2 linked regions of the Elephas maximus indicus genome follow. The protein of the gene in region 1 interacts with the protein of each later gene in a pairwise test. Links are inferred from orthologs where the notes say so. Each region holds a gene or a part of one and is shown in the gene's direction. Other genes may lie near its edges.

What was found.
Region 2: the proteins of FOXR1 (region 1) and PPCDC interact in binary tests that used the Homo sapiens proteins (3 or more experiments, as listed by UniProt). The two-hybrid records come from large-scale screens. The link is inferred for Elephas maximus indicus from reciprocal best matches to the Homo sapiens genes FOXR1 and PPCDC.

What each region holds. Positions count from the first base shown.
Region 1 is NC_064835.1:11,420,924-11,424,838, forward strand, and holds the start of FOXR1 (forkhead box protein R1), read left to right. Parts: upstream 1-826; coding exon 827-874; intron 875-1,451; exon of another isoform or gene 1,452-1,503; intron 1,504-3,915. Other genes in the region: UPK2 (uroplakin-2), read left to right, coding at 25-161. UniProt on the Homo sapiens protein: Transcription factor which acts as both an activator and a repressor.
Region 2 is NC_064831.1:65,073,369-65,077,283, forward strand, and holds the start of PPCDC (phosphopantothenoylcysteine decarboxylase), read left to right. Parts: upstream 1-1,124; 5' UTR 1,125-1,156; intron 1,157-3,915. UniProt on the Homo sapiens protein: Catalyzes the decarboxylation of the cysteine moiety of 4-phosphopantothenoylcysteine to form 4'-phosphopantotheine and this reaction forms part of the biosynthesis of coenzyme A.

The sequences.
Region 1 (3,915 bases):
TCCCCTGTCTTTTTTCTCTGACAGGAAGGAAGATGGAGTCCACTGGGTTGGGAATGGCCCGAACAGGGGGCATGGTGGTCATCACAGTGCTGCTCTCAGTCGCCATGTTCCTGCTGGTTGTGGGCTTCATCACCGCCCTGGCACTGGGTGCCCAAAAGTGAAGAGGCCTACACTGAGCAGCGGGCTCCTCCAGGAAGCCCAGGGTGCTGTCCAGTTCCCCAGCCTAGGGCTTTGACTTTATCTCCTGTCTCCACTCCTAAAAAGGCTGCCCCTCCCAGTCCTCAGTCATGAGTGTTCAACTCCTTCAGTTCCTTCACCTTCCCTTCCTTGCCCCCCCCATTAGAGCCCTTTCCTCCCTCAGTCTCCTCTTGCCCTTAATGCCTCCCCTTTCCCCAGCACTCCTTATTATCCCCCTCCTCCCACCGTCAGAGCTTACTTTCCTTCCCTTTCACCATTCACACCCTTCCCCCAACAACTCATGCCTCCCTCAGTGAACTAAGTCCCTACAATAAAGTGGGATGCCACCTCTGCTATGTGTGCTTCCTTTAGTGAGCTCCACTTTCGTGTGAACCTGTGGAATCTATGTCCAGGCTGCAGGTGCTCCTGGTCCTCTTGCTGCCCCATAACCCCAAATTTGCTTTTCCCATGAGGAAGGAAGGAGCCAGATAAGATAAGAACCCAGGAGTCAGAGTTCACAGACCCACAACTGGGTGGGCTTTGCATCCTCCACAACTGGCCACCTAACCAGGGGGCTGGACAGAGGCTGGTGCACCATGTGGAGGCAGAGAGGCCAGAGGGGCTAGGGACAGGGGAGGCTGGCAGAGCAATGGGGCACGCTGAGAAGAAGAGTAGAAGCTCTGACTGGACCACCAAGGTGAGACCCAAAGATGGGGGGAAAGGAAGAATAGGCTAAAGGGTCTCTAGGAGCAGAGGGTGGAAATGGAAGAACCCCAGATGGAGGGGAGCAATAGGGGTACAGTCTGGTAAATAAGGGAAAAGAGCAGGGTGGTCGCCATCCTTCACTTTTGCCCTCTCCAATATATACTCCTCATAAGGATCAGTGGTCTTCGCGTTGCTCTTAAAGACCAAAATCTTTAAGGTGATCTTCAGTGCCACACCTGGTCCAACCCCTAACCACCCCTTTAGCTTTCACTGTGTTTCCTCCAATGTTCTATGCTCCTTCTTGCCTCAGGGCCTTTGCACAGATTATTCCATATGCCTGGACTGCTCTTTCTACTACCGCCACACACACACACACACCAGACTCACTCCTATTTGCATAGTTAATTCTGAATCATCCTTCTAGGCTCAGCTCAGTGTCCTCACTCCAGGGAAGCTGTCTCTGGCCTCCGCTCCTCCCTATTAGGTGGGGTCCCCCTATCCTGTCTTTCATAGCATTACTATAGTTTGTAATTATATGCTGTGTGATTATTCATTGTCTCTCCCACCAGACTGTAAGCAGTTGCTTTGCTCCCCAGGACCGAGCACAGTACCTGGGACATGGTAGGTTCTAAATAAATACTTGTTGAATAAATGAATAAACGAATGAATGAATGAGCCCTTGATAAAGAGGGGGCCGGGAAAGTGGTAAAAATTGGGAAAACAATCAGAAAAGACTCAGAGAGTCTGGAACATGGGTCTTCAATCCATAACAGACACTGTTCTTCCCTAATGGAAGTTATATGGAATTCAGTGGAAAAGACAGGACCCCCCCTACACACACACAAAAATGTGAACAAGCAAATAAAGATAAAATGTGATAAGTGCAAAAAAAAAAAAAAAAAAACCCTACCTATAATTTGTGGTTATATAATAAAGATTGATACCAGAAAATTTTCAGCTTAAAAAAAAATGTGGTAAGTGCTATGAATAGTGGCAGAGGGAGCAGGCACTGGGGCCCTCTAGTTTGAGTAGGCCTAACTGAGCTGAGGCCTGAAGGCATGAGAGAGGGGCAGGGAGAATGCACCCTTTAGAAGGAATGTTCTGGGCTATGCTTTCCATCCTAACTGCACCAGCCCAGGGAGGTTTGGAATCCAACCTTCTGGAGTGGTAGGAAGAGCATCGAACTGGGAACCAAACTTTGCTACACACTAGAATCATCCTGGGAGCTTTAAACGATCCTGATGCCCAGGTCATACCTCACACCAGAATGAGAATGACCCTTGGAGTGGGAAGCAGGCATTAGTATTTTTTAAAGATAATCAGGAAATTCCAATACACAGCAAAGTTTGGGAATTACTGATAAAACATTCTTAAATGGTAACCTAACTGGAAAAGGGCTATAAAAGGGTGGACACATTACAATAACTTTTTTTTTTAACAAAACAAAATACCATAAGGAACGAGATTGGAAGAATATCTATCAAAATGTAATCAAGTCAGTCACAGAAGGACAAATATTGAACGATCCCACTTATATGAAATATTTAGAATAGGCAAATGTACATAGACCAAAGTTTATGAGTGGTTACTAGGGGCTGGGGGTAGGGGGAAAGATGGACTCATTGCTTAGGGAACACTGAGTTTCTGTTAAAGGTGATGGAAAAATCTGGAAGTGGATACTGGTGACGGTTGGTCAACATGATGAACATAATTAATGTCATTGAACTGCACAAGTTAAAAATGTGGAAATGGCAAATGTTTTGTTATATAGATATACTTACCACCATAAAAAAGTAATGGATTATTATTATCGCCCAGAGGTGACACAAAGAATGCTTTTTGTTTTGCTGTTTTTTCCTGTGTACTTTCTCTGTTTCCAGGTGTTCTGCATCAACCATGCATTACATTCATAATTAGGGAAATAATAATAAGTATGGAATTATTATAATTATTTTTAGTGGTACTAAAGGTAGAGTCCTAGGAAACTTTTACAGTTAGATTTCACTTTAGTTAAAACAACATTACTGAGGGTCTCCTATGTGCCATGTATTACTCTCTCAAAGTTTCTGGTCTAGTAGAGGATAAGCAACAGGCAACACAGTACAGAGCAAAGGGGCTGATAGGGCAGCCCGGGGTGCCACAAAAAGGCGGGGTGCCTCACCCACTGGCCAAATCTGGGACACTGTGAGGATCAAAACATATAATGATAGTAATAAATTTAATCTACCATATAAAATAAGAATCCACTGAGTCCACACTGATAACAAACAAACAGATATGGAGAAGCTCTTCCTCACAGCAGAATGCCAACAAATACACAGAGAAGGAATGATAGATACAGAACAATGATCACTTTACAACCATCATTGTAATGACTGACTCGGGCAAGAACCATAAATGGGTACTAATGCTAATGAGAAAGAGCCCTGGTGGTGTGATGGTTAAACGCTCAGCTGCTAATCAAAAGGTCTGCAGTTGGAACCCACCAGCTGTTCCAGGGAAGAAAGACCTGGCAATCTGCTCCTATAAAGATTTAAAAAAATTTTTTTTTTTTTTTTTATTATAGCCTAGGAAACCCTATAGGGCAGGTCTACAGGGTCACTAAGAGTCAGAATCTACTCCACCACCCACAACAACAAAGCTAATGGGTTCAAGTTTAATGTGGAATAGAATTTTACAGAACCTTAAAGTCTCTTCCCACAAAACGGTAACTTTCCAGTGGTGAAGCCTGAAGGATACCACTAAACCAAGTAACCGCAGTCAACATCACTGATGATGAGGCCAACTGACCTCATGTCTCTCCTGATTCCATGTACTGAGAAGGAAATAACATCACTTCTGTGGTATTCTTGTCAAAAAATGCATAATCTAAGTCTAATTATGAGGAAATATCAGACAAACCTAAACTAAGGGACATTCTACAAAATAAACAGCTTGTACACTTCAAAAATGTCACTATCGCGTGAAAGATTAAAAAAAAGGAAAAAAAAGCTAAGAAACACCTCCAGATTAGAAGAGACTAAAGGTACATGA
Region 2 (3,915 bases), on another chromosome or scaffold:
TGGGAGACAGACTACTCCCTAGCTGGCAGCTGACCTGCCTGAGCCAGTGTGTCTGTCTGTGGTAACTGAGTGAACCTTAATAAAGGGGAACATTTGACCCTGTGTGTCTTGCTGTGTCATGTGTTTTCACCTGAGTCTGCATAGTAGCTGTGTGGAGCCTCACTATTGGGTGTGGGACATGGATGTATGGTGGGTCGGATGAGTCTCTGGCCTGTCATTCCCTGGGGCCAAAATCCATACTCCCTTGTGTGGTTCTTTCTCCAGGGGGGCTTTGAGTAGGCCTCGAAATTGCCACAAAGCCCCTCCTGCTGGTTTGGAGGAAGTTCTGTGTTCCCCAAGAGCCCTGAGGAGGAAGTAGAAGGAATAGGCTGGATTAGTGGGTTGGGGTACCGTGGTTCAGATGGTTCACTGTGGGCAAGGGCAGGGGTAGAGCACACGGCCCCACCTCAGCTCTTACCCTGGGAGACAGGTGGCTGGTTGAGCAGCCTCAGTAAACACAAGGGACCCTGGGAGCCTGTGAATGCTGGAGAATGAAGAAAGCAGGGGGAAGTGTTCCCAACATGCTTTCTCCTGTGTGTTCCCTTTGCCAGCGTTGTGCCCTCCACTTGGAATGCTGCCCTGGCCCCCTTTCTATGTACTGGCCATCCTTCAAGATTCACCTCAAGTGACTCCTCCTTTGAGAGGGCTTTTACCCTGAGTTGTTGCGTCTACAAGTTCCCTGCCTTCCCCACTCAGGGCCTTAACTGTAATTTTCTGTATCTTTGTTTGGATAGCTGGGACACGCCTGATTTATATGTGTCCCGTGCACCTAGAGCACGGAAGAGGCTTGGTAAATATTCAGTGTTAAATGACCCAGTGATGAGCAGTGTGTATGTGTGGGAGGGGTTCAGGTGGTTGGGAAGGCCAGACAATTAGGCCAGGCTCTGGTGGGAGCATCAGAAATGCCAAAACACAGGGAGACAAGTTTCACCTCAGGATTCCTTCATGTGGACTACAACTCCCAGGAAACAAATGGAAACAAGTGGACTACAACTCCCAGAAGGCAGCGCGACCACGCTAGGTGCTCTCGTGATGCTGCGCGCCAGCCAAAAGTACAAGGAGGGACTGCTAAAATATCGCGAGACTTGGGAGCTACCTCGAGACGAGCGTGGCGCGGGTGAGGCGCTTAAGGGGATTCCGAGGCTGGGATCTCGCTGCTGGGCTGGCGGGAGGGTGGAGCTCTGCTGGCGGCAGTGACTTTGCGGCGTGTGCGTGTGTGTGTGTGTGTCTCTGTGTGTCTCTCTGTGTTTGTGTTAGTGTGTGTGTGTGTGTGTGTGTGTGTGTATCTGTGCCCTCCCTTTCCAGCTTTGTGCTGCTCGGTGGTTATTTTTTAGTGGAGTTTATCGCCTTTAAAAAGTGGCCCTATTAATTCCTTTAAGTCCCTAGGTGGTGCAAACGGTTAACACTCTGGGCTGCTAACCTAAAGGTTGGATGTTCACGTCCACGCAGAGGTGCCTCGAAAGAAAAATCTTGCAGTCCACTTCTGTGAAATCAACCATTGAAAAATCTTTGAAACACAGTTCTACTCTGACACAGGTAGCTGGGTCATGAGTCAGTCAGAATTGGCGCCATAACACCTGGTTATCAATTTTCTCAGGCTTACAGTGTGTTTTTTTTCTTTTTAAATCATGAGCCTATTTCCAGAAAGGATTAGGGACTGACCTAGTACAAACTGTATTCTAAAAGTTAGTAAAAATATAAAAAAGAAAGCCATGAGAAGTTGGCATTATCCCCTAAACCAAAAAAACAAAAACCCAAACCTGTTGCCGTGGATTTGATTCTGACTCACAGTGACCCTATAGGACAGAGTAGAACTGCCCCCATAGGGTTTCCAAGGAGCTGCTAGATTTGAATTACCCCTCTTTTGATTAGCAGCTGTAGCTCCCCTAGCTTTCAACCACTGTGCCACCAGGGATCCCCTAGACCCACCTAAAAGTGATGAATGTCATTTAAGTTAAAGTGAGTCCAAATATTATTAGAAAAGACTTCCTGCTGTCCTTTGAAATATTCGGAGGCCTGTGTCCGATAATGGCCAGGAGAGATTCCCAAGTTGAGGAAGCGATGGGTGTCTTGTAAGTAGGGATTTTCCACATCTTTCTCAGTGGCTGGGAGGTGGCAGTACTCAGTTTCTACTATAGTATGTGCGTGTGTATATATATATATATATATATGTTGGGGTATATAGATACATAATGCTTAGACATATATAATGTATATATGTGCGCAGTATGTATGTGTATATGTATTACATATCTCTCTCTTGAGGAGGAGGTGGTTTACTCGTGATTCCAGGAGCAGCAGAGTCAAGCATGCCTGCTTCTGGTTTGAAAGCTCGTTCTTAGCAAAATTCCAGTACTTTGAGCTCTCCCTGAAGAGTTCCTTTGCCTTTTCTTGGATGGGGAGAAGGGGTTTAAAGTGCTCCTGTGGCCACAGGATTCCTTTTAAATGTCTTTGGTTTGAGGGGCAAGGTGTTGAGGAGTGGTGGGAAATGAGTCCAGAGCAGAAGCCAGCAGTTTGATGTTAGGCTAAAGGATTCAGGCTGTATCCTGCCAGAGATCTCTGCCATCTTTACCTTGGAGTCCCTGGGTGGGGGACTGTTACCACCTGCCCCCTCTCCACCTCCCTCCACGTTTGGTCCTGCTTTGTCCTAGGCCCCAGACCCTTGTGTTGGTCAGGGCTCACTATTTGTCTGGCGTTGCTTACCTTGCTCCCTTTATTAGCTTTGGCTCTGCCCTGACTCCATACTTGCTCATATTGTGATTGGTAGGTATCCCTGAAATCTTTACCTAAACTCTGTCTGTAATTAATTAATCCAGAGAAGGATTCTTACATATCATAAGCCTGCCACAAGGCAAAGCTCCTTACTCTCTCTGGCTCTGTCTCTCTAAAGAACAGAAACGCTTCCATCTTTCTGGCTGTGGCCTAGCTGCATGGCTGGTGCCCTGGGAGTTTGAGGTTCAATAAACAGCCTCCAGCCCTATAGCCCTCCTGCCTGCCTGCCAGCTCAGGAGTTCCTGTGAGGCCAGCAGAGCCCAGGGCAGTGAGATGCTGTCTGTAGCTGCTCTGGCTATGCACATAGATGACTCCAACAGAATCTAGATGGAGTAACAGATTTACTGGTTTGGGACTTGCTTCTCTTTGAGAGTAAACATAAAGGGCTCCTGCCAGCTCTCACCTTCCCTGGGACTGTCAGGCTAAACTGATTTGACCTTGCCTCTAAATGTTTAAATTACCCGATTTCTGTTTTTCGAGTATTATCCCCTCCCCCCCAACACCACCCCCACCCTGGCCTGGACTTTCTAGAAAGCTAGGTAGGCTTTGGTTCTCAGCAAAGCTTGCTCAGTAGGCAAAGTACATCTTGGACTTCACTATTTGCTGTGGGAGGCAGTTGAAGTCACCAATGTGGATTCCTGCCCCAAGTTCAACTGATTACTTTCAGTAACATGTTCCCTAGGAATGAGAATCAGCTTGATGTGGAGGAAGTCCAGGGGGCTGCAGAGTGAAATTCAGCTTCTGTGGTGTTGCAGGTGTTGCCTAGTATAGGACAGGGTCAGGGTTTGAGATCTGGCAGGTGGTTTCCCTGGAGAACCAAGAATGCGCCTTTGTCACATAATGTGGGTCGGCGTGCTGTTTAGTAGTTCTGGGAAGAAGCTGGCAGGTAGGTCCCTGGAATTTGCCATTTGCTAACGGCTCCGTAGGTCCTAAGGTAAAATCAGTTCTATAGCTCTGGACAAACGTGGCCCTAGCTGAGGCCCTGAAGCAGAGTAGAGATTGAGATCACTGGCAAGTGGAACTTTGCGGAGTCTTGCTCTAGGGAACCCACCTGTGCTTAACCCGTGCTGAGAAAGCTCTGGGAGGCCCATCCAGGTAGGAGGG